Linked DNA regions of Macaca fascicularis. The main gene of each other region encodes a partner of the protein of the gene in region 4 in a complex. Links are inferred from orthologs where the notes say so. Each region holds a gene or a part of one and is shown on either strand. Other genes may lie near its edges.

What was found.
Region 1: the proteins of BMP2 (region 4) and RGMA are in contact, whole or in part, in a crystal structure (PDB 4UHY), measured with the Homo sapiens proteins. The link is inferred for Macaca fascicularis from reciprocal best matches to the Homo sapiens genes BMP2 and RGMA. Residues at the interface, in NP_001191.1 of Homo sapiens: Val308, Gly309, Trp310, Asp312, Trp313, Met371, Tyr373, Leu374, Asp375, Glu376, Lys383, Tyr385, Met388; in NP_064596.2 of Homo sapiens: Arg91, Arg94, Gly95, Leu97, His100, Ser101, His104.
Region 2: the proteins of BMP2 (region 4) and HJV are in contact, whole or in part, in a crystal structure (PDB 4UI1), measured with the Homo sapiens proteins. The link is inferred for Macaca fascicularis from reciprocal best matches to the Homo sapiens genes BMP2 and HJV. Residues at the interface, in NP_001191.1 of Homo sapiens: Phe331, Pro332, Ala334, Asp335, Leu337, Asn341, Ile344, Val345, Leu348, Ser351, Val352; in NP_001366281.1 of Homo sapiens: Leu40, Asn43, Tyr46, Val47, Tyr86, Leu101, Ala102, Ser105, Ala106, His108, Gly109, Ile110, Asp112, Leu113.
Region 3: the proteins of BMP2 (region 4) and NOG are in contact, whole or in part, in a crystal structure (PDB 7AG0), measured with the Homo sapiens proteins. The link is inferred for Macaca fascicularis from reciprocal best matches to the Homo sapiens genes BMP2 and NOG. Residues at the interface, in NP_001191.1 of Homo sapiens: Trp310, Asp312, Trp313, Val315, Ala316, Pro317, Pro318, Gly319, Tyr320, Ala368, Ile369, Ser370, Met371, Leu372, Tyr373, Lys379, Val380, Val381, Leu382, Lys383, Asn384, Tyr385, Gln386, Met388; in NP_005441.1 of Homo sapiens: Ile33, Arg34, Pro35, Ala36, Pro37, Ser38, Asp39, Asn40, Pro42, Leu43, Val44, Asp45, Leu46, Ile47, His49, His199, Arg204, Arg206, Pro219, Ile220, Gln221, Tyr222, Pro223.
Region 5: the proteins of BMP2 (region 4) and RGMB are in contact, whole or in part, in a crystal structure (PDB 4UI2), measured with the Homo sapiens proteins. The link is inferred for Macaca fascicularis from reciprocal best matches to the Homo sapiens genes BMP2 and RGMB. Residues at the interface, in NP_001191.1 of Homo sapiens: Val308, Gly309, Trp310, Trp313, Met371, Tyr373, Leu374, Asp375, Glu376, Tyr385, Met388; in NP_001353437.1 of Homo sapiens: Lys97, Arg100, Gly101, Leu103, His106, Ser107, Leu110.
Region 6: the proteins of BMP2 (region 4) and BMPR1A are in contact, whole or in part, in a crystal structure (PDB 2QJ9), measured with the Homo sapiens proteins. The link is inferred for Macaca fascicularis from reciprocal best matches to the Homo sapiens genes BMP2 and BMPR1A. Residues at the interface, in NP_001191.1 of Homo sapiens: Lys297, Pro330, Phe331, Pro332, Leu333, Ala334, Asp335, His336, Ser339, Asn341, Ile344, Val345, Leu348, Asn350, Ser351, Val352, Asn353, Ser354; in NP_001393490.1 of Homo sapiens: His66, Cys67, Pro68, Asp69, Ile77, Thr78, Asn79, Phe83, Ile85, Cys100, Met101, Lys102, Glu104, Gly105, Phe108, Gln109, Asp112, Arg120, Ile122.

Annotation. Positions count from the first base shown.
Region 1 is NC_088381.1:77,804,401-77,809,115, forward strand, and holds the start of RGMA (repulsive guidance molecule A), read right to left. Parts: upstream 3,280-4,715; 5' UTR 3,265-3,279; coding exon 3,241-3,264; intron 2,429-3,240; coding exon 2,230-2,428; intron 1,551-2,229; exon of another isoform or gene 1,506-1,550; coding exon of another isoform or gene 1,397-1,505; coding exon 882-1,396; intron 1-881.
Region 2 is NC_088375.1:113,394,381-113,399,157, reverse strand, and holds the start of HJV (hemojuvelin), read right to left. Parts: upstream 2,988-4,777; 5' UTR 2,830-2,987; intron 1,576-2,829; exon of another isoform or gene 1,558-1,575; 5' UTR 1,469-1,557; coding exon 1,372-1,468; intron 972-1,371; coding exon 409-971; intron 1-408. UniProt on the Homo sapiens protein: Acts as a bone morphogenetic protein (BMP) coreceptor. Through enhancement of BMP signaling regulates hepcidin (HAMP) expression and regulates iron homeostasis.
Region 3 is NC_088390.1:50,134,164-50,138,904, reverse strand, and holds NOG (noggin), read left to right. Parts: upstream 1-1,506; 5' UTR 1,507-1,797; coding exon of another isoform or gene 1,798-2,469; 5' UTR 2,470-3,049; coding exon 3,050-3,748; 3' UTR 3,749-4,434; downstream 4,435-4,741. Other genes in the region: uncharacterized protein, read right to left, coding at 1,798-2,469. UniProt on the Homo sapiens protein: Inhibitor of bone morphogenetic proteins (BMP) signaling which is required for growth and patterning of the neural tube and somite. Essential for cartilage morphogenesis and joint formation.
Region 4 is NC_088384.1:80,544,457-80,548,957, forward strand, and holds the start of BMP2 (bone morphogenetic protein 2), read right to left. Parts: upstream 3,250-4,501; 5' UTR 2,065-3,249; intron 826-2,064; 5' UTR 819-825; coding exon 473-818; intron 1-472. UniProt on the Homo sapiens protein: Growth factor of the TGF-beta superfamily that plays essential roles in many developmental processes, including cardiogenesis, neurogenesis, and osteogenesis. Induces cartilage and bone formation.
Region 5 is NC_088380.1:105,152,865-105,157,668, forward strand, and holds the start of RGMB (repulsive guidance molecule B), read left to right. Parts: upstream 1-1,864; 5' UTR 1,865-2,045; coding exon 2,046-2,054; intron 2,055-2,312; exon of another isoform or gene 2,313-2,710; intron 2,711-2,776; coding exon 2,777-2,879; intron 2,880-3,021; coding exon 3,022-3,097; intron 3,098-4,804. UniProt on the Homo sapiens protein: Member of the repulsive guidance molecule (RGM) family that contributes to the patterning of the developing nervous system. Acts as a bone morphogenetic protein (BMP) coreceptor that potentiates BMP signaling. Promotes neuronal adhesion.
Region 6 is NC_088383.1:59,723,273-59,727,321, forward strand, and holds part of BMPR1A (bone morphogenetic protein receptor type-1A), read right to left. Parts: intron 366-4,049; coding exon 173-365; intron 1-172. UniProt on the Homo sapiens protein: On ligand binding, forms a receptor complex consisting of two type II and two type I transmembrane serine/threonine kinases.

The DNA.
Region 1 (4,715 bases), on a different chromosome or scaffold from region 4:
CCCTGGAGGCAGGCAACGGCCACCGGAGCAGAGGGAAGTGGCAGGGATGGAGCATTTCCCCGGCTGCCAGGTCACCTCGTTGTCCTCCTCTGGGTGTGGAGGGGTGGGAAGGAACAGAAACACCCTTGTGGTAAGTCTGGCACTGCCCAACACATGGCCTTCCAACTGGCTCTTCCTAGGAAAACAGACCCACTGCCGCTTCGCCAAGCTGGAAACCCCAGGGGGCACTGGTAGGCCGGGCACTGGGGAGGGTGGACGTGTCCCCATCACCTGAACTGGGAGCCACCAGCTTCCTTCCTGGCCTCGAGGCCTTGCCCTCTGGCTAAGTCTGAATATGAGGTCACAGGACATCCTCCCCAAAAGCGGGTAGGGGAGGGAGAGCCTGGGGTAGACAGCAGTGTCCACTTGCATGGGCCCATGGCCGTGTGTGTGGCTGCCTCTGGCTGTGGCCCCATGAGCAGGACCTGAGTCCTGCTGCCCACATGCTAAGGCCTCCTTGGGTTGGAAAACCAGCAGCCTTCAGTGGCCTCGTGGGGCCGCTGAGAACATGCCAGGTTCTGGAATCACCTGGGCCTGGGGCAAATTCTAGCTCAGCATCCCAGCTGACTATGCACTTGGAGTGGGAAGGTCACTTGGCCTCCTAGAGCGTCAGGCTCCCCATTTGTGAAATGGAGCTATGCCAGCCAGGCTGGGCTGGCTCAGGGAAGGAGGGAGGAAGCTGAGATCCACCCCTTGGGATGCTCAGGGAGAGTGCTCCCGTGTCCCCACTCTGCTCCATCTTCCCCCATTTCCAGGCACCCGAGGCCCTCTCAGCCTCTCAGTGTCCACACAGGGCAGAAAAAGGGCAGGGCTGTGCCCTACAGCCGCCCCCTCCCCCTTACCTTGCTGGTGGCAGTGGCCGCTGAGCCGGGCAGCACAGGTGTGTTGGTGACCTGCACGTTCAGGTAATTATTGTCGATGAGCGGCCAGGCGCCCTGCACCTTGCAGGTCTGGAAGCGGTCTGTGAAAGTCCTGAGGTGCGGGTCCCCGAAGAGGCCACAGTGCGTGTAGTTGGGGGTGGCTGAATGCTTGTGAAAGCTCTTCTCATAATGGCAGATCTCGGGGCTGTCCGAGCGCTCCTGGCTGTCTCCGGCTGGTGGGAGCGTGTGCAGGCGTGGCTGCGAGGTGGGGCCATCCTTGGAGCAGTTGTGCTGGCTCATGAGGTCCTCTATGCCATGGACGGCCGAGTGGTAGGCCAGGTCACCCCGGCAGGTGCGGGCCGTCCGCCGTGTGCACAGGGCGTAGCTGCGCAAGGCTGCACAGAACTCGGGGGTGTCGTCCGAGGCTGGGGCGTGGCTGCCAGACGTGGCGCTCCAGAACTCAGAGTTGCACTTGAGGATCTTGCACGGGGAGGTGGCTGAGGAGAAAGGAATGAACAGCCTGTCTGGGTGCAGTCTGGCAACTCCAGCCTCTGCTACCATCTGTGGGGCAGGGGAGCAGCCACACGTCGCAGGAGGACATCTCATCTAGGGCAGAGCCACCCACGCCACACACAGATGGTGAAAAACTTCCTGCAAGTGGTAAGAAAAGGGGTCCTTTTACCCAGCCTATAGTGACCCCAAGCGGACAGGCAGGCTGAAAGGGAAGTGGTCACTGTTTGAGGGTAGCAGGACTTTGGAAGCTGACAGGCCACCCCGGGGCCTTTGACATTTATATACACTTTCATGGCCATCCCCAAGAATTTTGGCTAAAGCAACAGGAATCTGGCAGGGAATTTAGCCCCACTATTAAATATGTGTCCCTAGTCCTGGTACTGTATGACCTTATATAAATGACCTCCTGTCTTTGTGCCTTGTTATACTTATCTGGAAGATGGGATAATGTGTGTGAAGTGATTTATCATATATAAAGGACTTAGTCTGGCCCCAGCATTCATAGCCAAAACTCAATGAATGTTGCCTGGTATGAGTGCTCCATTAGCCCCCTGGCCATAGAGGAGCTGGCTTCCCTCAGGCTCACCGTAGCCCCCATCCTTCTCTGTCCTGCTCGGAGAAGCAAGCTGAGAAGCAACCGAGAGTAGTAACCTTGGATCCCTCACAAGCTTTGAGACTTTAGTGACAATTAGCCAAAATGACCATGCCCCAGAACTATGGCTTTAACACACCTAATCTTCTCAACACATAGAACCTGCCTTTTTCTGGCCTTCCTCTGCACAGCCCATAGTGACCACAAGTGGCTAGGCACACACACCTGCAGCAGAAGTTTCTACATGGATTCCAGGAGAAAGGGGCCAGCAGACCAGCTGGGAGATCCAGCCTCTGGCGTCACAGCCCAGTGCTGGCCGGGGTGGTCTCCAGGGGGGAAAGGGAGCCTCAGCACTCCTGTCTAGGCCACTAACTTGGCCTGTGACCTTAGAAAAGTCAGTTTGTTTCTCCGGTGCTGGTTTTACCTATAAAATTGAGTTGCACATAAAACCAAAAACAGACATATTTGAGGGCAGGCTAACGCAAGCACAAGTACCCACCTATCCCAGCACCTTGTGTGAACCCAGTCTGCGCTGTGCAGCCCTGGACCTGGGTGATCTCTCCCGCCTCTGCAGGTGGGTGGGCACCATTCTACTGGAGCATAAGTCACCTTCCCAGGTCACAGACCTGAGCATGGGGGAAGTCAGTGCTCATCTGAAATTTGGGCTCTCCCCCTCATGTGACCTGTGTTTGCCATACTGCCAGTAACAAGGTAATTTCGGGAGATACCTAAGTGAACACTTTGTCTTTTAATTTGAGAAGTCATACCTTTATTTAAATGTGCATTAAGAAAAAAAATTGCTGGGTATGGTGGCTCATGCCTGTAATCCCAGCACTTTTTGGGAGGCCAAGGCAGGCAGATCATGTGAGGTCAGGAGTTCGAGACCAGCCTGGCCAACACGGCAAAACCCCATCTCTACCAAAAATACAAAAATTAGCTGAGCCTGGTGACATGCGTCTGTAATCCCAGCTACTCAGGAGGCTGAGGCACGAGAACTGCTTGAACCCGGGAGGCAGAGGTTGCAGTGAGCTGAGATGGTGCCACTGTACCCCAGCCTGGGAGACAGAGCAAGACTCCATCTCAAAAAAAAAAAAATTGATGTAAGAGCTACAGATTTTCCATTTTATTAGCTTTATTTAAATTAAAGTATGCTGACTTAAAGGGTCAGGTTAGGTAAATGACAGTCAGGTGGTACCTGCTTGATATGGTTTGGCTGTGTCCCCACCCAAATCTCACCTTGAATTGTAGTAATCTCCACATGTCAAGGGTGGGGCCAGGTAGAGATAACTGAATCAGGAGGCCATTTCCCCCATACTGTTCTGGTGGTAGTGAATAAGTCTCACAAGATCTGATGGTTTTACAAATGGGAGTTCCCCTGCACGTGCTCTCTTGCCTGCCGCCATGTAAGATGTGCCTTTGCTTCTCCTTTGCCTTCTGCCATGATTGTGAGGCCTCCCCAGCCATGTGGAACTGTGAGTCCATTAAACCTCTTTCCTTTATAAATTACCCAGTCTTGGGTATGTCTTTATCAGCAGTGTGAGAACAGACTAATACACCACTATAAAGGGGTGCTATGGCAGATACGTGGGGAGCATTGGTGAGATCCCCCCATGTAGTCTTCCTCCCACACAGGTGTGCTGCTGAGGACAGGTCTCCCTCCCAAGGCAATGAGAAGATTCTCTTGCTCTGTTGTCTTCACGTCTCCTTTACCTGTACAAGATGTGGAAGGGCCCAACCTACCTGCAGGCTTTGAAATGTTGGTGTGGTCTGTGTGGGACAAGGTAGCTTCCTTGCTGCCCCCTGATAAAGCCAGTACAGGAGGTGAGTGGGGTGGGGTGTATGCGGAGGGAGTACTATGCAGAACAAGCGTTTGGAGGGACCCAGCGCACAGGAACTGACTGGTGCAGCGGCCTGCACACAATGCCTGTCCCGGCAACCTCATTAATTCCAGGAGCCGGGTGTGCTGACCTGACATTCTGCCTCCTCAGAATCATGCAGATGTGGGCATCAGAGAAAATCAAGCGGAAGGAACACTGGTCTCCTGTTAACCGATGGCCACGCTCAGGCTCCGGTTTACCTCTGGCCCTTACTGTGATCAAAGTAGAAAAAGGACACTGCCTGTCCCTTTAGAGCAGGCCCCACTGCAACACAAGCAGGAGCTGTGCTGTGCTCTGACTCTCCACCAGGACGGAATCTGGTAGAACCTTGGAGAGCAGGGACTGTGAAGTCCCAGCTGGCTGGCTATGTCCCAGGTCCAGCGCTGCAGGCAGTACAGGCCTCCCCCATTGCATCTTCCCGGTGCGACTGCCATCCCCAGCTCAGGGGAAAGCTGGGCTCTGCTGGGCTGACTTCTTGCCCAAGTCTCACTTCGAGGAAGTGAGCCAGGGCAGGACATGAATCCAGCCACTGGACCCGTGAGCTCATGCCCCTGCAGCCACACATCATCACATAGCCTCATTAGCACACTCCCGATTCCCTCCACCACGGGTGGGCTCCAGCCTCTCCTGCAAGACCCATCTTATGACACTGGGCTCCCACCAGCCTCCTGGCAGGGTCAGGCCGGCGCCCAGGTGTGGCTCTACACTCCAAATGGACAACCCCGCAGGCTCCTGAATTTTAAGTGGACTGGATTTGTGATCGGGATCTGCTATCTCCACAGCCTTCAAAACCGTTCTCAGAGCAGCACCCCTGTTACAGAACTCTGGGGTGTG
Region 2 (4,777 bases), on a different chromosome or scaffold from region 4:
TACATAGTTAGGGATCTGATTCAAGTAGAGATGCAGGACTATTATGGCCCTCAATCCTTGATTGCTTCTCCTATTTACCTTCCAGTATTACCTCATCCCTACTTAACCCCTCTCTCTACTTAACCTTGGCAACTTCCTAGGAGAGGGAAAAGTTTCCCTTCTGAAACTCCTCAGGTCTGCTCTCTTCAATGTCTCTTCAGTGTTTTCTGCATTTGAGTGAAATTCCCATCAAGGGGAAGTGATTTACAGCTCCAACTGTTTGGTAGAAGGGAGTGATTCAAGATGAGGGAGAGGTTGAGGAAGAAAAGGGAATTAGGGAGCACTGCTGTTGACTAGTGGCGATGGGGGGGAATGGTGCCCGTGGAAGAATCTGATGAGGTAGATCGGAAGGAAGATTGAGTGCCTGACCTTCCGGGTAGCGGTAGCGTTGGCCCCCAACGCCATGGGGGAGCTGGTGGCTTGGACAAAGAGGAAGTCGTTATCCAGTAGAGGCCAAGCTCCTTGGACACGGCATGTGTGAAAATGGTGGTGGAAGCTGCGCACATGGGGGTCCCCGAAGGAAGCGCAATGCAAGAACCCCGGGGGACGACCATGCAGCCGGGAAAACCGGCCTTCATAGTCACAAGGGTCCGGGGCAGGGAGGCCGGAGCCTGCGCCTGGAAGGGCGGGGCCCCGGGGCGGGGGAGGGGCTGTAGGGCCCTGGCGCGAGCAGTTGTGCTGGATCATCAGGTCTTCGATGCCATGTACCGCCGAATGGAAGGCGAGGTCCCCACGGCAGGTGCGGGCGGTGCGCCGAGTGCAGAGCGCATAGGAGCGGAGGGCTCGACAGAGGCCGCCAGAGCCCACCCCTCCACCCCGGCCTCCTCCTCCTCCTCCTCCTCGAAGTGCTCCTGATGAACCGCCACCTCTAAGGCTCAGAGTGGACGATACATACTCAGCATTGCAGCGGAGGATCTTGCATTGAGAATGAGCTAAAGACAGAAGGGAGAGGATTGTGAGACGGTCCTCAGACCCCTGCTCTATCGGAGTGTAGTTTGCTCATAACTCTTCCAAATCTCATCAGGGGATTCCAGTCTTCCTAAAACCTAACTAAGGGCCTTCCCCAGCCCCCAACCCCCTTGTCCCTAGTTCTCTCGGCTGTCTTACTAAAAATGTGTAAGCCCACCACATCTCTTCTGCCTGTCGACCAAGGGCTTCCCCAGTGGCCTTCCCCAAACTGAACGGGCAATAAAATATTCCTGTTTGAGAGCAGGGCGAGTGACCGGGACTCTCAGCGCACATCTCTCCTCACTCATTCAGGCTCACGTGCCCACCCTTACATAGCAGCCTACCCTCTAGATTTCCCCAAACCCTTCCCTGGCCCTTCCTTACCATGTCCACAGAGGAGCAGCAGGAGAGTGAGAGTGCTTAGAGTTGGGGGACTGCCATGGGAGGACCTGGGACTAGGGGACTGGCCTTGCTCCCCCATACCTATCCAGCCAGGTTCCCCAGGCGCCGGTTCTTCCCAGCTGATGACCCTCCTACCTAGTGAATTTTGACCGGAAGCCCTGTAAGTGACTGAAAAAAGAAATTTGGCTGGACATGGAGAGAGAGAGAAGAGTTGAAGATTGGTCAGGATAATGTGAAGCGAATCTGGGGAGATCAAGAAAAGGATGAGCAGATTGGAATTTGGGGAGATTGGGGCTCCTCAAACTGTAAGTGTGGCAGTGAAGTCTCTTTGCCCTGTGCCTGTGGCCACTTTTAGGGCCCTTGTGCAATACCCCTAGGTGGGGGTGGAGGGAAGGTTGAATGAACTCAAGGGGCCAGAGTCCACTATATTGCTCCATCCTGAGCTACCAAACAGCAGATATGTCAAAGATGGAGGAATCATGGGGATAGATCAGATACCAGTAATCCTAGTGGGTACCCTAATAAAATTAGGACCTGAAAATATTTCAGAAACATACTTCTTACTTGTCCCTCTCCATTAGGAGGAGATGCCTTCTAGGAGTCATACATTTCTTTGCCTCCTTTGTGTCAGAAGAACACAAGAAGGAGTAAGGGTGGCATACCCATCCCCTCTAGAACATCAGTATTCAAACGAAAAGGGAACTGATCTCTTTTCATCAGCTCTAGCGAGCTGCAATTTTAATCTCCCCCTCTCATGGAATAATGGGATGCAAACCAAACATGCAAATCAATATTTGTTTTTTCTAAGTCAACAGTTCTTGTATTTTCCCAAATTTCACTGAAGAACCACTTTCCATTAATCTCTCCCTTTCAAATTCTGAAGTTCTCAGTTTTTTTAATGAGGACAGGAGTTGGGGAGGGGCTAAATTCCTCCTGCCTAACTCCCCTGTCTTATGGGTAAGGATATGATTGGGAGAAGAGTCCTGTGAGAGGGAGAATAGAATGGAGGGACTAGAGTTGTGGGGAGAAATAATTTAAAGGAGCAGCCCCCACCCTTGGAATCTCAATGTGAAGAGCATTGCTAAGTGGGGGCAGGATAGAAGGGTGTCTGAGGTCTGAGAGGTCATATTTGGCCTTGGTAAGAAAACTACGGAATAGCGGACGTAGGGAATTCCTTCTAAAACTTCATCAGAAGTCTTGAGGTAATAAGGTAAAGAGAGGGCTAAGACTGCCAGAGGAGAGACGGAGAATTAAACTTCAAATAACTAGAGGCCAGAGGCCAGAAAGAAGACAGAAAGAGAAATGGAGATTGGGGCACCTTGGTAGGGAGAGATCACAGCATTTGGACGAGAGACATCCAAGTAGGTGTTTGTAATTTTATAAAAGTCTAACTTCAATATAAAAGCTTATTAAAGGAATTGCAATTTCATTTTGACTTACTGTTTCCAGAGGTCAAACATTACTCTGCTATCCAATTCTCCAGCCATGATTCCCTACTCTGTGGGTCAGCTCCAGCCAGGGGGTCCTCCGTCTCTTTCTCCATGTCTCCCCCAGGTCCCCAGGCCGGCTGCTGTCTCACTGAGGTCAGGGAGCCAGAGAAGGTTTGGTGTAGGGGGAAGGGGGAAGTATATGGCTGGCCAGAGTACTGGACAGCTGAGCAGGGAGGGAGGTGGCTACTGAGTTGACGGTTTTAAAAATAGCTGAGTCCAAAATTCCAGGAACGTTGGTGGGGGTAGGGTGTGGGAGTTGGGGGAGTGGGGAGGGTTGGAGGATTAGAAAGAATATGGAGTATTGGGTGCCAAGTCAGGGAGGGAGGAGAGAAATATGACAGACAAGTCGAATATCCAGTTCCAGCTTGTGTGACTCTGGTCACTGCCTACTCCAGGCAGCCCTCCAGCATTTTTAGTAACGACGAACTCCTGGCCTTTAAAAATTATAGTGGGCAGTTGGATACCTTTCATTTACCATCTTCATCCCTGCTATGCTGAATATTACATTTAGGTACTACAGATAGTGTCTAGGAGGTAGCTGACTTTAAATAAGATCCATAGCAGAAGTAGTTCACAGCCCCTCCCCTATCTTTGCAGAGTATTTCAGAAGAACGAAAAAAGCCAGCTGTCCAGAGAAGAAATCTGAGCTATGAGTTGCTTAGGATGAGGGTTTGTTCAGTCTATCCAGCTCAGATCCTTGCAGCTGTCTATCCTCCTACCTACTCCATTTTCATTACTTTGGTTTGTACAGCAATTCCTCTTCCTCTCCCTCAATACACAAAAAATAAAGGCTCCTGAGTTGCTTAGAGAGAAGGTTAACAAAGGCAAAGAGGTGAAGAAAGAATGGGAATAGAATTTTTCGAAAGAAAGAAAGACTTGGAGAAATAGAAAAAGATTCAAAGAGATACATTTTTCCTTCCTTCCTTCCTTCCTTCCTTCCTTCCTTCCTTCCTTCCTTCCTTCTTTCCTTCCCTCCCTCCCTCCCCTCCCTCTCTCCCTCCCTCCCTGCCTTCCTCCCTCCTTCCCTCCCTCTTTTCTTTTCTTTTCTCTTTCTTTCGATGAGGTCTTACTATGTTGACCAGGCTGGTCTTGAACTTCTGGCCTCAATCAGTCCTTCCATCTCAGCCTCTCAGAGTGCTGGGATTACAAGTATGAACCACCATGCCTAGCCTCAGACAGATACTTTTGTGGAATAACATAATCTTGTGACTAAAAATATTGCAAAATCTCAGCACTTTGGGAGCTGAGGCAGGAGGGTCACTTGAGCCCAGGAGTTTGAGGCTGAAGTGAGCTGTGATAGCACCATTGCATTCCAGCCTGGGCAACAGAGTGAGACCCGCCCCCCATCCCCCTTAAAAAAGAAAAGAGATAGGCTGGGCGCAGTGGCTCATGCCTGTAATCCCAGCGCTTTGGGAGGCCGAGGCGAGCGGATCACGAGGTCAGGAGATCGAGACCATCCTGGCTAACACGGTGAAGCCCCGTCTCTACCAAAAATACAAAAAATTAGCTGGGCGTGGTGGCAGATGCCTGTAGTCCCAGCTACTCTGGAGGCTGAGGCAGGAGAATGGCATGAACCCGGGAGGTGGAGCTTGCAGTGAGCCGAGATCGTGCCACTGCACTCCAGCCTGGGCAACAAGCGAGACTCCATCTCAACAAATAAAAATAAAAAATAAAAAAAAGAGATATTGCAACCAAGGGATTTAGCCATGTCATGTTTTTGCAGCCATAGGCGTATCTGAGATCATCATCTTTTAGTACTTGCCAAGTGAAATTAACACAAGGACCAATTCCAAATAGGGTCACTGTATTAGGGTTCTCTAGAGGGACAGCACTAATAGGATATATATCTATATCTATATAGAGATCTATATCTATATCCGTATCAATCTAGCCATCTA
Region 3 (4,741 bases), on a different chromosome or scaffold from region 4:
TGCAACATGTAATATTCATAAGGAAACAAACTAGTGCTGAATCCTCATAAAGCACATAAAAAAGAAAGAAGTATGCTTAGGCGCCTACTATGTGCCAGCTTCTTTTTTTTTTTTTTTTTTTTTTGGCGGGGAGGGGCGGTCAGGGAGGTAGGACAGAGTCTCACTCTGTTATTCAGGCTGGAATACAGTGGTGCAATCTCAACTCACTGCAACCTTTGCCTCCTAGGTTCAGGTGATTCTCGTGCCTCAGCCTCCCGAGTAGCTGGGATTACAGGAGCCTGCCACCATGCCCAGCTAATTTTTTTTTTTTTTTTTTTTTTTTTGTATTTTTAGTACAGACAGGGTTTCACGATGTTGGGCAGGCTGGTCTCGAACTCCTGACCTCAACTGATTCGCCTGCCTTGGTCTCCCAAAGTGCTGGTGTTACAGGCATAAGCCAAGGCCCCTCGCCTGTACCAGGTCCTAATCACACATTATTTCTAAGTCAGCCCAATTCAAACCACCAATGGGTTGTTGTTATCTCCAGTATCCATCAAAGCAAGATCTACTTTTGAGCAGTCCCTTGATAGTCTAATTCTAGTTGTCTAGACTTTAAAATCGAGGGAAATGCTTTCAGCTGAAACTGCCTACCCCTTTTTATAGAGGTTTTGCAGAAAGACTGTAGTATGCAACAAAGTGCTTTCTTCCTTAGATGATAAACTTTGGGAGTTGGGGTGGGGCAGGTTTAAAGGAAAAATCAGATCTTTGGGGAAAGAAAGTTGAGCGATTTAGGTTGTCACAATGGGACCTCTTAACTCCCACTCTGTGGAAGACTGGCAAATACTTGAGTCATCCACTCCAAGTGTCTCTTCTCCAGCTTTTTCCAGATTCCAATCACATTCACCACAAAGAAAACCGAGTTTGCATTTTAAAGCTTAGATTGAGTTCCTCGTCCAAGGGGAAATTAACCGGAGGTGTCACTTCAGTACCCATCTCCCATCAAAGAGAAACTGCTTCTGAAAGAGAAAGCATCATGGAGGTTTATTTAAAATCACAGAAAGGTGGGGCGGAAGAGAAACCTATCAATAGTTAAGTCACTAATGCGAAAAGTGAGGAAACTGACTTGTCCAAGTTATATCAGGGTGGACCCCAGGCAAGACTCAGGTGCCTCTGCTGTCAGCTCACCTTTCAAGTTTCTAGTCCCCACTCGCACCCACTGAGACCAGAGAGACCAATTTACCTGAGGCAGAAGGTGCTGCACGCATTCTTGTCAAATTTGAAGGGACTGAGGAGGTATCTCAGTAAGTTTGTTTGCACTGGGGGCCTGGAGAGCTTCGGGAAAATAGCCAGAACCAAAACGGACCCGTCAGCAGACGCAGACACACACAAAGTGACACGGACACAGAAACAGAAGCTGAGCTGGGCAGAGCGGGCAGCGGCCGACCCACCTCGCACGGCCGCCCCCCGCCAGCGCCAGGTGCAGGGCTCGCAGCGGCCCAGCAGAGGGCGCGCCGCCCCCAGGGAGCCGAGCGGCGGCCGTGCGGAGCCGGGAGGACTAGGGGAGCCGCAGGCGAGCCAGACGCGCCCCTGAGGCTAGGCCACTCAGGGTGCAGGACCCGGCCAAGGAAGAGGAAGATGGTGAGGAGCGGACCCCCCTGGTGGGCCCGAAGGACAGACAGGCAGGAGTGCTTCCTAAGAATTACATCACGCTGCGCAACGTTGCGGTTCTCGGACTCCCTGGTGCAAAGAGGGGTGGGGTAGGGGCTGTGTGTGTGTGTGTGTGTGTGTGTGTGTGTGTGTGCGCTGGGGGGAGGGGACTTAGATCAAGAGCCCGGGAGAGAAGAAGGCGAGACGCGCCCGGGGAAAACGCTCCATGCACATGGAGAAATTTCTGGCTCCAATCTGCATGCACCGAGAAACGAGCCCCCAGCACTTCCCCGTTGCTCCCCTCCCAGTGCAAAGCACCCAGCTAGTGAGAAACCCTCCAGCCCCCACCTCGAGCACCGCCCCCCCAACACCGGCTCTGCACCCTCCAGCCCGGCTCCAGCGCCGCCGCGAGCTTTCCCCAGGACTGGCCCTGGCGGGGCGCCTAGAGCCCCAGTTGCATTGCTCCAGGAGAAAGGAGGGGGGCGGTGCATTTTGCAGGAGGAGGAGAAGGGGGGTGGGTGGTGGGGGAGAGAGAAAATTGCGCGGAGACCTGCCAAGCGCCACCGCCGCCACCACCGCCGCTGCCGCCGCCGCCGCCGCCGCCGCCGCCTGTGAGCTCCGGCGGGCAGCCGGACTGTCGGCTTCCCGGGGCATCTGGGTCCGGCGGGGCACAGCCCTGGGCGCTGCCGAAGCCGCCGCCGCCGCCTCCGCGGCGAGTACAGGCGGCTTCCCCCGGAGCCTCTGCAGCTCCAGCTCCTCGGGGGTGGAGAAGTGGGGGGTGGGGTTGTTGTTTGGGGGGAAGAAGGGGGAGGGGGCAACGCCGAGAGAGTCAGTGGTTTCCATGGTGATGGAGCTGAAAGTGCAGGAAATTTAAAGGCTTGGACCCTGCGAGACAGACAAACCGGTGCCAACGTGCGCGGACGCCGCCGCCGCCGCCGCCGCTGGAGTCCGCCGGGCAGAGCCGGCCGCGGAGCCCGGAGCAGGCGGAGGGAAGTGCCCCTAGGACCAGCTCAGCCAGCGGCGCTTGCACAGAGCGGCAGGACGAAGAGCAGAGAGAGGAGGAGGGGAGAGCGGCTCGTCCACGCGCCCTGCGCCGCCGCCGGCCCGGGAAGGCAGCGAGGAGCCGGCGCCTCCTGCGCCCCGCGGTCGCCCTGGAGTAATTTCGGATGCCCCGCCGCGGCCGCCTTCCCTAGTAGACCCGGGAGAGGAGTTGCGGCCAACTTGTGTGCCTTTCTTCCGCTCCGGTGGGAGCCGGCGCTGCGCGAAGGGCTCTCCCGGCGGCTCATGCTGCCGGCCCTGCGCCTGCCCAGCCTCTGGTGAGCCGCCTCCGGAGAGACGGGGGAGCGCGGCGGCGCCGCGGGCTCGGCGTGCTCTCCTCCGGGGACGCGGGACGAAGCAGCAGCCCCGGGCGCGCGCCGGAGGCATGGAGCGCTGCCCCAGCCTAGGGGTCACCCTCTACGCCCTGGTGGTGGTCCTGGGGCTGCGGGCGACACCGGCCGGCGGCCAGCACTATCTCCACATCCGCCCGGCGCCCAGCGACAACCTGCCCCTGGTGGACCTCATCGAACACCCAGACCCTATCTTTGACCCCAAGGAGAAGGATCTGAACGAGACGCTGCTGCGCTCGCTGCTCGGGGGCCACTACGACCCGGGCTTCATGGCCACCTCGCCCCCCGAGGACCGGCCCGGCGGGGGCGGGGGTGCGGCTGGGGGCGCGGAGGACCTGGCGGAGCTGGACCAGCTGCTGCGGCAGCGGCCGTCGGGGGCCATGCCGAGTGAGATCAAAGGGCTAGAGTTCTCCGAGGGCTTGGCCCAGGGCAAGAAGCAGCGCCTGAGCAAGAAGCTGCGGAGGAAGTTACAGATGTGGCTGTGGTCGCAGACGTTCTGCCCCGTGCTGTACGCGTGGAACGACCTGGGCAGCCGCTTTTGGCCGCGCTACGTGAAGGTGGGCAGCTGCTTCAGTAAGCGCTCGTGCTCCGTGCCCGAGGGCATGGTGTGCAAGCCGTCCAAGTCCGTGCACCTCACGGTGCTGCGGTGGCGCTGTCAGCGGCGCGGGGGCCAGCGCTGCGGCTGGATTCCCATCCAGTACCCCATCATTTCCGAGTGCAAGTGCTCGTGCTAGAACTCGGGGGCCCCCTGCCCGCACCCGGACACTTGATCGATCCCCACCGACGCCCCCTGCACCGCCTTCAACCAGTTCCACCACCCTCTAGCGAGGGTTTTCAATGAACTTTTTTTTTTTTTTTTTTTTTTTTTGAGCTACAGAGACCTAGCTTTCTGGTTCATGTAATGCACTGTTTAACTGTGTAGGAATGTATATGTGTGTGTATATACGGTCCCAGTTTTAATTTACTTATTAAAAGGTCAGTATTATACGTTAAAAGTTACCGGCTTCTACTGTATTTTTAAAAAAAAAAGTAAGCAAAAGGAAAAAAAAAGAACAGAGAAAAGAGAGACTTATTCTGGTTGTTGCTAATAATGTTAACCTGCTATTTATATTCCAGTGCCCTTCGCATGGCGAAGCAGGGGGGAAAAGTTATTTTTTTCTTAAAGTACAAAGAGACGGGGGAACTTTTGTAGAGGACTTTTTAAAAGCTATTTTCCATTCTTCGGAAAGTGTTTTGGTTTTCCTTGGACCTCGAAGAAGCTATAGAGTTCAATGTTATTTTACAGTTATTGTAAATATAGAGAACAAATGGAATGACTAATCATTGTAAATTAAGAGTATCTGCTATTTATTCTTTATAATATCCCGTGTAGTAAATGAGAAAGAAGTGCAGAGCAGGATTAAAGAAAACCACTAAAACCGACTGGGCTCCACACTGATTTTCTGTGTTGGTGATTGATGGGGGGTGGGAGGGCGTGGGAGGGGGCGGGTAGGGGATGCTGCTGTGCCTCCTACCCGGTTGGGGAAGGGGCTCATCCCCTCGGACTCACCTCCTGTGGTATGATAGAGATGACTTAGTGTTTTGAGGGCGGGGGGTGGCGATATTCTCTAACCCCTCACTAAAACATCACGTGGCCTCCGCCTAGTCTCCTAGCTTTTCCCCCTGTGTCACCAAAGCTCGGGCCTGTAGTGACCTCGACACCCAGCCGGCCCCCTGGAGCTGACCCC
Region 4 (4,501 bases):
TTTCAATACTATCTCTGAAAACTCTGCCCTTGGCTCTGTCTACCCTGAAACCCTGGCTTAAGCAGCAGATTTATAGAGCAAAAGCTTCCAAACAGACTTAAAGAAATCTTAATCTGCCTCCCTTTTCCTCCTTTTCCCTCTGTGGAATTCTTGCACGTTTAGCTGACTAGGGGCATGCCTTTTGCCCTCATCTTCCCCATCACTTGATTTCTCTCCAATCCTTCCGGGAGGAGTAGCTCTTCTGGCTGCAAGCCAGGAAGAGGGTGCGGAGTTACTAAAGGGGAATCCCTGGCTCCACCACCACACAAGCAGTGAGTTAAAATCAGATTCAGAAACCATAGTACAGAAGCAAGAGTGGAAACGTCCGCTGGCGCCCTGGCTAAGCTGCCTCTATAGGGATGGCTGCAGTCTGCCCACGGTGGAGGGCTTTGCAGGGTGACTCCCCGCCCCCACGCCCTGCTCCATGCCTCACCTTCATGGTGGAAGCTGCGCACAGTGTTGGCTCGGCTGGCTGCCCTCTCCAACCGGTGGTCTGGGGCAGGTGAGCCCGGCTGACCCGAGTGCCTGCGATACAGGTCTAGCATGTAGGGGGGCACCACGGCGTCCCTGCTGGGGGTGGGTCTCTGTTTCAGGCCGAACATGCTGAGCAGCCGCAACTCGAACTCGCTCAGGACCTCGTCAGAGGGCTGGGATGAGGGGCGGCCCGACGACGACGCCGCGAACTTCCTGCGGCCCAGCTCCGGAACGAGGCCAGCCGCGCCGCCCAGGAGGACCTGGGGAAGCAGCAACGCTAGAAGACAGCGGGTCCCGGCCACCATGGTCGACCTGCGGACAGGACCGACGTGAGTCACCCGAGCTCCCCGCCCAGTCCTCCCCCCTCGCGCCCCCGCGGCCCGGGCTCCCATTTGGCTGGCGTGCCTCCTCCAGGTTGCCCTCCTGGCTTGGCACACTCGCGAGTCTAGGTAAGACCGACCGAAGCTCAAATGTTTGGGATAATGAAGGGCCCCAAGTTCCAGAACCAGGTGATTTATCGCTCCCATCCAACTCTTAACTTGTCTAACATCAGATTTGGGGTTTGCCCTCCCCTCCCAACCAAACCAGCGCCAATGACTGTCACTTTTTTGTGTGTAACACAGCGCTGACTGCCAATGCTGGGAACCTGGGAGAACCACCGCTTGGTCTGACACCCTGCGTCCCCTATACAAACCCAAATGCAGAGCGCTGAGCGCTCTCTGGCATATAAACACACACAAATGGTGCATGTGACTTCCTTAGAGGCACTGTATAGAACTTCCTGACACACACACACACACCCCTATAACTTCCAGACCCTGTAAGCTCAAGGCCACAACTTCTGAAGCCACTTACAACTTGTGTCCCACGCCCCTACACTCAGGGGTGTCTGGAGAGGCAACTCCATCCCGCATCCCCGTAGTACGGTCAAGATACTCATGTATCTTCCTGGGATTACATACATGGTGAATATCTATTAATGCACGTGTCAGCTGTTAAAAACACAGCACCAAGTGATTCTTCAGTACTGACCCCTCGCATTTCTGGAAACAAGAAGGGAGAGCCCCAACTCCTAGTACTTTTCTCAATGGGATAGGGCTCTGAGTAAAGAAACCAAGTCTCCCAGAAACACTAGAAGAAGGGAGATCGCCATGGCAGGGTGGACAGGTTCTCAGCTAACGGGTGAAACCCAGGGGCTACCCTCTCAAAGGGATTTCTTTGACTCAAAAAAAAAATAAATAAATAAATAAATAAAATAAATAATTTAAAAATAAATAAATAAACAAAACACCTCATCTAAGTGTTAACAGCTCCAAAAGTATTCCGGGGAGAGGGTAAGAAAGAGGGGTGGAAGAGTGCGGGCCGGGAGGGTGAGGCTGATGGTCGCCCGGGACAGCTGGAAGGGGGCACCCCGCAGGGCTCCGTTGCACGTGGACTGGAAAGGGGTCTGTTTACTTCTGGCCTGGACGTAAGGAAGGGCTCTGCCGCAGTGGCTGCCCAAATCCCCCTCCCACCTACCACCTACCCCGGCCCCTGGCCCGCGTCCTCTACCTTTAGGAGACCGCAGTCCGTCTAAGAAGCACGCGGAGACACGTCCATTGAAAGAGCGTCCACATGGAAAAACTCTGGTCAAAGGACCTGGCGCAAGGACCGAATGTCCGTTCCTTTTCTTTGCCTCCTCCTTCTCCCGGGTGCCGGCCGCGCAGTCTCTTTTCACGCTGGGAACAGCGTCTCAGTCTCGGGCAAGGCCGAGGAGTGGAGGGGCGGTGGGGCTCGGAGGTGGCGAGGCAGGCTCCGCTGGGGCAAAGGCACGGGCGCAAAGTGGGGAGCTCAAGTTATTCTCCCTGCAAGTTCAAGAAGTCCCCAGCCAAGTGCTGACACACAACAACAGCGAGCAGGGGGAGGAGTGCGGGGCAGGGAAAGGAAGGGAGAAAGGAGAAGCTGGTGCTGTCGTCCTCCTTAGGAACCAGCGCCCGAGGGACGCGTGGCCCCGCGCGGGGCCGGCTCCAGGACTCAGGGAGCGAGGGTCGGGCGCTCTGCGCTAGCTCCGCCGCGGCCCATGGCTCGGGGCAGCCATCCTGGGCGACGCCGGGTCCGGGGAAGGGCACGGCGGCGATTTCGGTGCCAGGCGAGTTGCCCCCCCGCATCACTCTGCCTTACTCCAGTGCACCCCCATTCGCGCTCGCCAGTTGAAAGCACCGCGGCTCTGGCGCCCCGTCGTCCTCGGGCGCATTCTCCGGCGAGTCGAGCCAAGTCCCGGGCCGCCGAGGCGGGTGGTTGTGCTCTCTCCTCTCTCTCCTAACCCTGGGGCCAAATGCCCTTTGTGACTAGCCTGGGGTCCGATCACACCTCGGCCGGCGCTTCCCAGGCCCCCGATCTCCTGCAGTAGGTGCCCCGCATCGCGGCGCTAGGGATCGGCTCCGGAGTCGCCGGCGCTCTGCGCGCCCGTCCGCGACTCTGGCGCAGCCGGGGCAGCAGAGGCCACGGCGCTGTGGCGCGCTCTGCCGGGTGCTCCAGCCCGCGCGGGGTCTGCGGCGCGCGGATGCCTCGCGGTCCCCGGTGATCCGCGCGGCGCTGGCCCCGAGAACGTTCGGGTCGCCGGCGGAGGCTGTGGCGGCAGATGTGCGGCGGAGGCTGCCAGTCCCCGGCAGGGTGTGGGAAGCGGAGCGACTAGCGCAGCGCGAGCCCGGCGCAGCGCGGCGGGGCGAGGACTCCGGCGGCGACGGCGGCGGCGGCGCCGTGGCGCGGCGCTCGCGGCTTTTAAAGGGGACGCCGCCTGCCGGCTCCCTCCCGGCCGCGGCCGAACACCTCCCCCTTCGCGGCGCGGCTCGCCGGGGATCCCCGAGCGGGCGGGAGCTGCGCGCAGGGGTGTGGACGGCGCGCCCGGGCAGCCGCGGCGGGGTGGGGCGGAGGGCGGGGGCGCGCGGCCGCCAAGGGGGGCGCTCGCGCCTCCACTCCCTGTCCTCAAAGGAGAGATCAGCTGGCGCGCCGGACCCTCGCGGGGACTCCGGAGGCGAAATCCAGGACAAATGCAGGGTCAGGGTCTGGCTTCTATTTCCCCTCTGGGCCCGTTATTCAACTTTCAGTTTGGAGTTTTTCGATAATATACAATTTCAAAAAACAAAACAAAACAAACACCTCAATTACAGCGCATTTTGGCATAGCATAGACGTCGGATTCACGCTTCTGTTTCCCCGGAATAGGAGGAAAATTAAAAGAAAACAGGAGGCTGGAAATTGAGTGTTTTTAAACATTAATACAAAGAGATGTATGTATTTACATATGTAAATGCATGTGTACAAATTTCCTTTTACATAAATATGTGTGTGCATTTATTTTCATATCCATATGCATGTTACAGTTATATAAATATATCCAATATACAAAAATATGTACATATATTTCTATATATTCATATATGAGAACATATGCAACCGAAGGTAAACATTTCGGTAAATATATGTCTACGTGTGTGACATGGATGTCATCCTGCTTTACGTGACATGTGTGTAACGTAGACTGTGTGTGTGGCAGCCTGAGGGATGGATGGGAGGGATTTGATTTCTTTTCATGGTACAACCACTTTGTGCCTTGTGATGTTTATCTCACCCAGCTCAGAGGCAGGCGATTAACAGCTCAGAGGAAGGTAAAATAACGCACTGTGTGAACCAAGCATACAGGACAATTTCAGTTTGGGACCTTGGAACCTTCTACTCCACCCTCTTCCATCAGGCCCCCAAGAAGTAGGGCTGTGACACGTGGCCAAGTCACTCCTCAGCTGAATATTCGCTCAAGTCACTCCTCAGCCGAAACATTCCTCAGAGCTGCTGCACGATGAGTCTGGGGCCAAGGCTTTCTGGCCTTCCCAGGATTCCAGGAGCCCCCATGCACAGCACCTCGGGCTTGCCCAAATGATTCCCGAAATCAAGGGCAGAACATTTTTGGAAGAGGCCACGGTCTACTTTCCCAGAGCTATCGGGCCTGCAAA
Region 5 (4,804 bases), on a different chromosome or scaffold from region 4:
TTCTACTGACCAATATTTATGGGAAAAGACTGGAGGAGACAGGGAATTCTGGCAGCTTTTGCCTGCTATTTATGTACCGTCCAGCTTAGCAGGAGAGGGAGGAAGGACTGGGGCTGCATTAAAAAACATCCTCTGGGCTGGCTCACTGGGCTTGCTTTGAACTCTTGTTCATCATTATTTTATGCTGCAGCTTGTCTTTGTGTTGGTGGAAGGGAAAAGAAAAACACAAGAGACTAGCCTTTAGTTTCTAAATCAAAGCTGTGCTTTGCTGACTGCTGGAGTGGCTTTTCAAAAGCAAAACAAGTGGGGACATTAAAATTCCTTGCTTTTGTGAACCAGGAGCTGAGTTGGGTGTTTTTTCTTCTTCTTTTTAAATTCTCAGATGCAAAAGAGTGTGTTTCAATGTGTCTTACATTTACCTTTAAACGATCTTAGTATTTTTTTTTTTCAATTTGACTCTCACTTAGAAAAGATAAAGCAAGGTGAAAAAATACTAAGAAGGAACCTGCAGAGGTTTGGAGGAAGGGCGTTCATTGTCATCGCATTTAAGAAAGAGAAAAATATGTAAATTTTACTAATTATTGCCTCTTACACATCCTTTCTTGATAGTGACCCCAAGGTCCAAAGACGTTAAATCTGTTGCCTAAGACTCAGACCCAGAAAGTCAGAACTAGACCTTCCTCTGTGGATTCCCACTCGCCCTCTTTACACTGCCCTATGCTGCCTCTAGCGTTAGCCGGAGAAACTATAAGGAGGGGTTGGGGGAGGAGAAGGCAAAGAAAAGCTGGAGAGGGTCGTAGATTCTTGCCTAAGGAGGCAAGAAGTGACCTCCCTGAGTCAAGGTACTTGAGCATTTGACTTGACTAAGAGAAGCAGCTCGCTAGTTCCAGGAGTTGAACGCGCCGATTAGCTGCCGCTGAGTATCTATAATTTTTTTGTTTGCTTGTTTGTTTTTCTACTTTGGAAGATCAATGTAAGGTATAAAGTTAATCGCTTTCTTCTCGCCCTCCACGCCTTCCACGCTGACCGAAGCGACCGTCCTGCCTCGAACGTTTCGTGGGCTCATTCTTTGTAACACTTGCTCTGGGCCTTAGGTGTCTCTTTAAACCCTCTCTCCCCTCTTTATTTCCAAATCTTTATCATTGACTTTCTTAAGCTGTAAAGACACACTGGCACCTTAGGTGGTCAGGGAAGATCGCTGGATTCCTTATTTCGGCGAAAGTCCAGAGGACCATTCCCGCCACTGTCCCCATTTTAGAAACACTTGGAAGACCCTTAAGGATCATTTACGGAGAGAAAGGGGAGCATTCTGCTGCTGCCGGCGGGCAGCTAGAGAACGTGGCGGGGGGCAGCGCATCTGGCGCCTTGGCCGAGGCGCAGGGTGGGAACAGCCCGCACGCGTCCGCTGCCGCCCTGCCTGGCGACGAGTGGCAAAATCGCCCACCAGGAATCGGCTGGTGCCGCGGGTGGGCGAAGGCACGGCCGCCGGCCCGGAGGGCAGCGCGGAGGGTGGCGCTGGCGGCGTGAAAGGCGTCTTTGTGCAAGACTGAGTGTGGTGGGGGGAAGGCGAAGAGAGAACTGAGCCCGGACCTGGACGCGGGGGTCTAGGGCGCCCCTATGCCCCTAGCCGTCCGCTGTGCCGGAATGAGCCGGGTAGCGCCGGAAGGGGGCAGTGTGGCGACAGAGGAGTTGCCGGGAGGAGGGGGTTCTCTGTTCACCTCTATTTGAGGCTGGACTGGGGGAAAAGCTGCCTGGAGGAAGCTGCTGGGGTGCGGGGGACTGAGCGATTTGGCTCCCCGCCCTCTCCCCTAGGTGGCGGAGAAATCGGGCTAGCTGGAAGGGCGCAGCTCCTCTCCGAGAGCTCATTCCGGAATCGGAGAGCTGGGAAAGCGGCCCCCGAGGCGGAGCCTCCCTCCCGCCCGGAGTCCCGCTACCCCCAACCTGGGGGAGAGGGGCGGGCGCCGCGCTGCCTTCCCTCCGCGCCTCGGCCGCGTGGCTTGCGGCTTATTTTCCCAGCTGGCAAGCGTCGCGCTGCAGACAAGGGAATGCCTGTGGTGAGTTGTTTATTTTGTTGAAGTTTGCGGTGGGCCCAGGGGACGTGGGGGGCGAGCGGCAGGCAGCGGCCGGGACTGTTTTGTTTAGGTCTCCATCCACCTGTGTGGTATAAATCTGCCAGCCTCAAGGCGGCGGGGGACCGGAGTGAGAAAGCGCTCCCAAAAGCCCCTTTTCGCCACTTACAGATATAGGACCACATTTGATTCTCCACGCCTGGAACCGGCTAGATCCTAATTTACTCTCACCCCGCCCTCCAGCCTCCCATCAACGCTTCCCGCACCCGCTGTGTGCAGGGCTGGCGCTCCGCAGAGCAAACAGCGCCCGCGACCCAGGGACAGCTGGCCACCGAAATCCCTCCCCGGCTCTCTTCCCCGTTCCTTGAGGACAGGGGAGCTGAGGTTTTGATGTGAAGGGCGCCCATGAAATTCGTGGGAACTTGTTCTGGCGTCTTCTGGAGTGGAGTTCTTTCAGGGGTGTCGGGTCTGCCCGGGACTACAAAATGGGATCCTGGGTTGGCTGGAGTCTCCCAGACTAGGCTGGAGAGAGGTCGGCTGTTGGCTCGCGGGAGAGCCCAGAGGAACCCCTTGAGCTGATGGCAGTCAAGACCGGCGGCTGCGTTTGCCTGGAAGAAAAGCCTAAATACATTAGCGAGCCGGTAAAGCTTTTAAGGCCTTCTTGGGAACGAGTGGCTGGCTAATGAGAGGTTAATTTTGTTTCGAAGGGAAGGCTGCACTGGTTTCCTGAGATAAATGGACAGGAAGCGCATTACCTCCGCGCCCTGGCAAGCGGCTCCCAAATGCTTTTTGCACCTGCCGTTTTGAGCGGTGAGAGCAGCGGCGGAGCCCGCAGGGATTGCGGGGGCCCGTTGTCTACGAGCGGGTGATGAGCCCTTCGCAAGCCCCGGGCTGTCTCCCTCCGGGAGTGCATTGCTCACACCAAGCTCTGGGACTCTTCTCTCACACTCAGGTCCTGCGTGTTCCGAAGTTCGGGGGCCCCCTGATCCCGCTGAGCCCCCTCCAGGAGCGGAAGGGTTAAGAATGATGTAAGTACAGGGACTTGGTTTCTCAAGTCGCCCGCTTGGCCCTCTTCCAAGTTGTACTTTCCTTATTTTCTCTCCTTTCCTTTCCTTGCTGTTCTAACGCTTTTTAATAAACTTTTACTCCTGCTATGAAAAAAAAAAATGATGTAAGTACAAACCACAGGCTGCTTGACGCTGAGCTGTCGGACTCTGAGCCATTTCAGCCGCTGCTTTGGGTACACAGTGGCCGGGGAGCAGCCGGGGAGCCCTTACTCTAGGATGGATTGCACAAATCGCAAACCTAGATGATCTGTTAAGCAGTCAGAGATTCTCCTGTTAGATTTCTGGAAATGGAGACATATTAACTGGAGAACAGTTAAAAACATCACGTATAGGTTCAGGAAATGAAACCGCATCTTGTTTAGAATCCATTAGTGTTTCTGACATGTGTTTTAATTCTGTGCACTTGCACGTTCATACCGTGGTATGCTTTGCTGGATTCTCTGGATGTACTGTTCAGGTCTCCTCCTTCCTTCCTGAAAACAAAGAGGAAGGGAGAAAGAGTACCAGTGGCAAGAAACAGGGTGGATGTGTGAGTTGCACCACTCATCAGTCACTTCATGATTTTTTTCTGATTAAAACATAAAACTTTTATAAGTCACCGATTTTATGTTTGTTTTCTACCTCCCTCCCCGATTTTTCTTTGTAGAATCTAAAATCCTTTGTAACTTGCAGCTCACGGGGTCGAGGAGTGGCTGCGCTATAAGTGACTATTCACTACACTCTTGCTTGCCAAGCTGATTCCTGCTCTTGCGAACAGTACGAATTTACCCGCGAGTGTGTCAACTGACCTATGTCTTGAAAATAGGAACCACCTTGCGGTTTAATTGTGAAAATTAGCATTTTCCTTTAGCGGGTGAACACTTATGCAGCAATAGAAAGTGAATTGTTAGGCTTATAAATCTCGAGCTTGTCAAATTTTACAACAGAGGAGCAATAAAGCGCCTTAGAGATGAAGTTTTTCCTCTGAAGAACAGTTCGGTTTAACGACACCAGGGTATACAATGACTCGAGGACGCCCTCTATTGATAGGAAAATCTGGAGCACCCGTGTACTTAAGGAACAGGATATGGGGGGAGGGGAGTAAAAACATGAGAAAGTCACGAGTGGAAAGACCCAAACCAAACAGAAATTATTGATCCTTAACTATTGAGTATATGTTTTGAAGTATGATCAATAAAGTGAAGTGTTTCTTGTATAGGGGTCGAATTAAATCTTGGATTAAGAGAAAAAAAATTTTAGTCCTTGTTAGCCAAATACTTTGAAAATCAGTATTTGATTACTTAAGATGCTTCTTAGTATGTCATGAACTGTACCTCATTAGTTATATGAAGTAATTGCAAGATAGTAAATTTTTGCTCTAATAATATTTAATCCACAGCATTATCTAAAAATGTCATATACCTTCCTCCCCAAAAGTCATTTCTCCAGGCAACTGTGAAGCTATTATTAAGCATATTATGGATATACACAGGCTTGGATTATATCGTGGGTAGTGAAAGGTGTGTTTACCCCGTAAGTCATCATAGTATGTAATAAGTAACTAATGAAAAGTTACAGTAAAAACAGATAGGCATCCTTCGTTAGGGACATAGTGGTTTGGGCAATTCACAATGTGTCTATAATGAGTGAGCTGGTGAGACCGAAGGTTTGCCCCTCAATTATCTTAGT
Region 6 (4,049 bases), on a different chromosome or scaffold from region 4:
GGTTGGCATTCCAGACTATGTTATATTTAAACCACGTATTCTACTGGGTTTCCTTTAGACAAGTGTATATAGTTGAACTTACACATGTTTTCAAAGCATATATAGAGGCTTCCACCTGCACCCCCCACTAGCCTTGTCAAACATGAAATTGACTGAATCAGTGTGTACCCACCAAGTATGTTTTCATGGCGCATTAGCACAGTTTGGTAGATTTCTGTTTCTCGAAACCAGCTGGCTTCTTCAGTGGTAAAGAATACTTTCACCGCCACTTTTTCGCCACGCCATTTACCCATCCATACTTCTCCATATCGGCCTTTACCAACTTGCCGGACCATCTGAATCTGTTTGGCAATAGTTCGCTGAACCTTTATAGAAAAAAGTAAAAGGTTTGAGCTCTTGATGAAAGAAACCCATTAAGACTGGCAAAGGGATAGTCCATCTCATCAAAAAGCATGGTATACCCAACCAGTTCGAGTTAAAAACTTATAATGTACTTTTTTTTTTTTTTGGATGGAATCTCGCTCTATCACCCAGGCTGGAGTGCAGTGGCCTGATCTCGGCTCACTGCAACCTTCACCTTCTAGTTTCAAGTGATTCTCCTGCCTCAGCCTCCCAAGTAGCTGGAATGACAGGCACCCACCACCACATCCAGCTAATTTTTTTGTATTTTTAGTAAAGATGGGGTTTAGCCATGTTAACCAGGCTGGTCTTGAACTCCTGACCTCAGGTGATCCGCCCACCTTGGCCTCCCAAAATGCTGGGATTACAGGTGTGAGCCACCATGCTCAGCCATAATGTACTTTAAAGTATGAAACAATTTACAATGTATTCTGAAATTATAAACAGATTATTCAGTGTGGCTAATGGCAAAAATGGTCATAATAATTCCCCTCCCAGTGCACACAGCCATGGGTACTCCTGGCCCGCAGACTCAGGGCTTAGGCCATATGACCTGCTTTGGATAAAAGAACAACAGCGAACGTGATGCAAGCAAAGACCTGACAAATGTTTGTGGACTGGGGCTTGCCCTTTCCTGCTGCTTTGGTAACCCTGTGAACAACAAATAATGGCAGCATGAACGGTTGGCCATGCGTGTGAACTATACTACCTAGCTCTAGCTGAGCAAGTCCAACAAATGAACTGCCCCGCAGACTCACAGAATGAGAAATAATCTTTGTGCTTCACGGCACTAAGTTTTTGGGATGGTTTATTATGCAGCAAAGTCCAAATGACAGTTAAAGATCTTAAAAATCCCATCTATAAGACCCTGCAAGATCTGGCTTGACCCCATTATTCGCTGTGACCACCCAGCCACAAACCTCCTGTTTGATTTATGTCAACTTTTAGAATTCACTCAAGCTTATTCCTGTCTCTGGGTCTTTTTGAATGTCCAGTTCCCTTTACTTAGAGTGCTATTTTCTCACTTAAACACCTTCATAGCACACAAAACCTCTCAGTTGCTGCACTTCACACAATCATAACTTTATTCTTATTTACGTATATATTTGCTTGAAATCCATCCCCTGCTCACAGAATACAGGTATCTATTTGGGACAATATCAGAAGAACTTTCATATTTGTTAAATAAAAGATGTATATGGATTGTTATCTTTCATTTTCAGAAGCGTTAGTGATCATTCTACATTAAAAAGAACATTGTGTTCCAAGTTGGAAATGCTTCTAAAATGAACTAGATTTAGTGCAAAGTTAAAGTGACTTTATGTATCATTTATTACAGAATCCTTTTGTAAATTTTGTTGTTTTTTTTGAGACAGAGTCTCACTCTGTTGCCCAGGCTGGAGTGCAGCAGCCAATCTCAGCTCACTGCAACCTCTGCCTCCCCAGTTCAAGCGATTTCCTGCCTCAGCCTCCCGAGTAGCTGGGATTACAGGCATCTGCCACCACGTCCAGCTAATTTTTGTATTTTTAGTAGAGATGGGGTTTCAACATGTTAGCCAGACTGGTTTCGAACTCCTGACCTCAAGTGATCTGCCTGCCTCAGCCTGTAAGTTTTTAAGTCAAGATTTTATAATTTACATAAAATGTACCCTTTTTGAGAAAAGTACAACAAGCCTTTGACAAATCTATATCATGTAATCACCAATACCACAATTAAAATACAGAACGTTTGGCCGGGCGCGGTGGCTCAAGCCTGTAATCCCAGCACTTTGGGAAGCCGAGACGGGCGGATCACGAGGTCAGGAGATCGAGACCATCCTGGCTAACACGGTGAAACCCCGTTTCTACTAAAAAATACAAAAAAACTAGCCGGGCGAGGTGGCGGGTGCCTGTAGTCCCAGCTACTCGGGAGGCTGAGGCAGGAGAATGGCGTGAACCCGGGAGGCGAAGCTTGCAGTGAGCTGAGATCCGGCCACTGCACTCCAGCCTGGGTTAGAAAGCGAGACTCCGTCTCAAAAAAAAAAAAAAAAAAAAAATTCAGAACATTTTAATCACGTAAAAAAATTTTCACTTTTTGGCTGGGCGTGGTGGCTCATGCCTGTAATCCCAGCACTTTGGGAGGCCGAGGCGGGGGGATCACCTGAAGTCAGGAGTTCAAGACCAGCCTGGCCAACATGGTGAAACCCCGCCTCTACTAAAAAAAAAATACAAAAATTAGCTGGGTGTGGTGGCGCATGCCTTAATCCCAACTACTTGGGAGGCTGAGGCAGGAGTGTAGCCTTTTGTGTCTGACTTCCTTCATGTAGCATAAAATACTTCTGAAATTCACCCACTGTTACTGCTACAGGTGTTAGAAGTTGTTCCTTTTTACTGATGAGTAGTATTCCACTGTATGAATGTACCACCATTTGTTTATTCATTTACCAATTAATGAGCTTTGGGGTTGTTTCCAGTTTATGTCTATTATAAATAAAACTGCTATCAACATTCACATTCAGGCCTCTGGTGTGGACAAATTTTCATACCTCTTGGGTAAATAATTAGCAGAAGGATTGCTTCATTGTACAGAAAGTATACCCTTAACTTTCCAGACAATTGTCAAACTGTTTTTCAAAATAGCTATACCATTTTGCATTCCAATCAGCAATGTATGAGATTTCTAGTTGATCTACATCTTTGTCACCACTTAATATTGTCAGTCTTAGCTATACTAGTGGATGTGTAGTAGTATCTTACTGCGTTTAATTTGTATATCCCTGTTGATGCTGACATCTTTTCATGTGCTTGTGTGCCATTCTTTTATCTTCTTTGGGGAAGTGTCTGTTCAAATCTTCTGGCCATTTTTAAAAAAAATTAGGTTGTCTTATTGAGTTGCAAAAGTTCTTATATATTTTGCACAAACACCCTGTATCAGACCTGTTTTGCCAATCTGTGACTTGTCTTCTCATTTTCTTAACATTGTCTTCTAAATAGCAGAAGGTTTAAATTTTGATAAAGCCTGATTTATCATTAAAAAAAATGATTTGTGCTTTTTATGTACTGAGAAGTCTGCCCAAGGTCACAATAATTCCTTTGGACATTTTCTTTTAGAGGTTTTATACTTCAACTTTTACATTTAGGACTATGCTACATTTCAAGTTAATTTTGTATACAGAGTGAGGAGGTAAGGGCTGAGATTAACTTTTTGGTAAATGGATTCCCGATTTTTCCTGCACCATCTGTTAAATGGATTGCCTTTTTCCAACTGAATTACTTGGGCACCTTTTTTTTTTTTTAAATCAATTAACCATATTAAGTGCATGTTCCTTTCTAAACTCCATAATCTGTTCCATTCATCGATACATCTATCCTTACACCAGTACCAAATTGTGATCATTATCGAGCTTTACAGTAAATCCAGAAATCAGGTAGTAATTCCTCTTTGTTCTTCTACTTCAAAATTGTTTTGGCTCTTCTAGTCCTTTGCATTTCCATATAAGTGTTAGAATATACATCAATTTCTATAAAAATTTGCTCTGATTTTCATTTGGATTCAAATGAAATTACACACCAATTTGAGGAAAACTGAAATCTTAATACTGAGTCCTCAGATTTATAAACATCTCCACTTATTTAGGGCTTTATTAATTTCTTTCAGCAATGTTTTATAA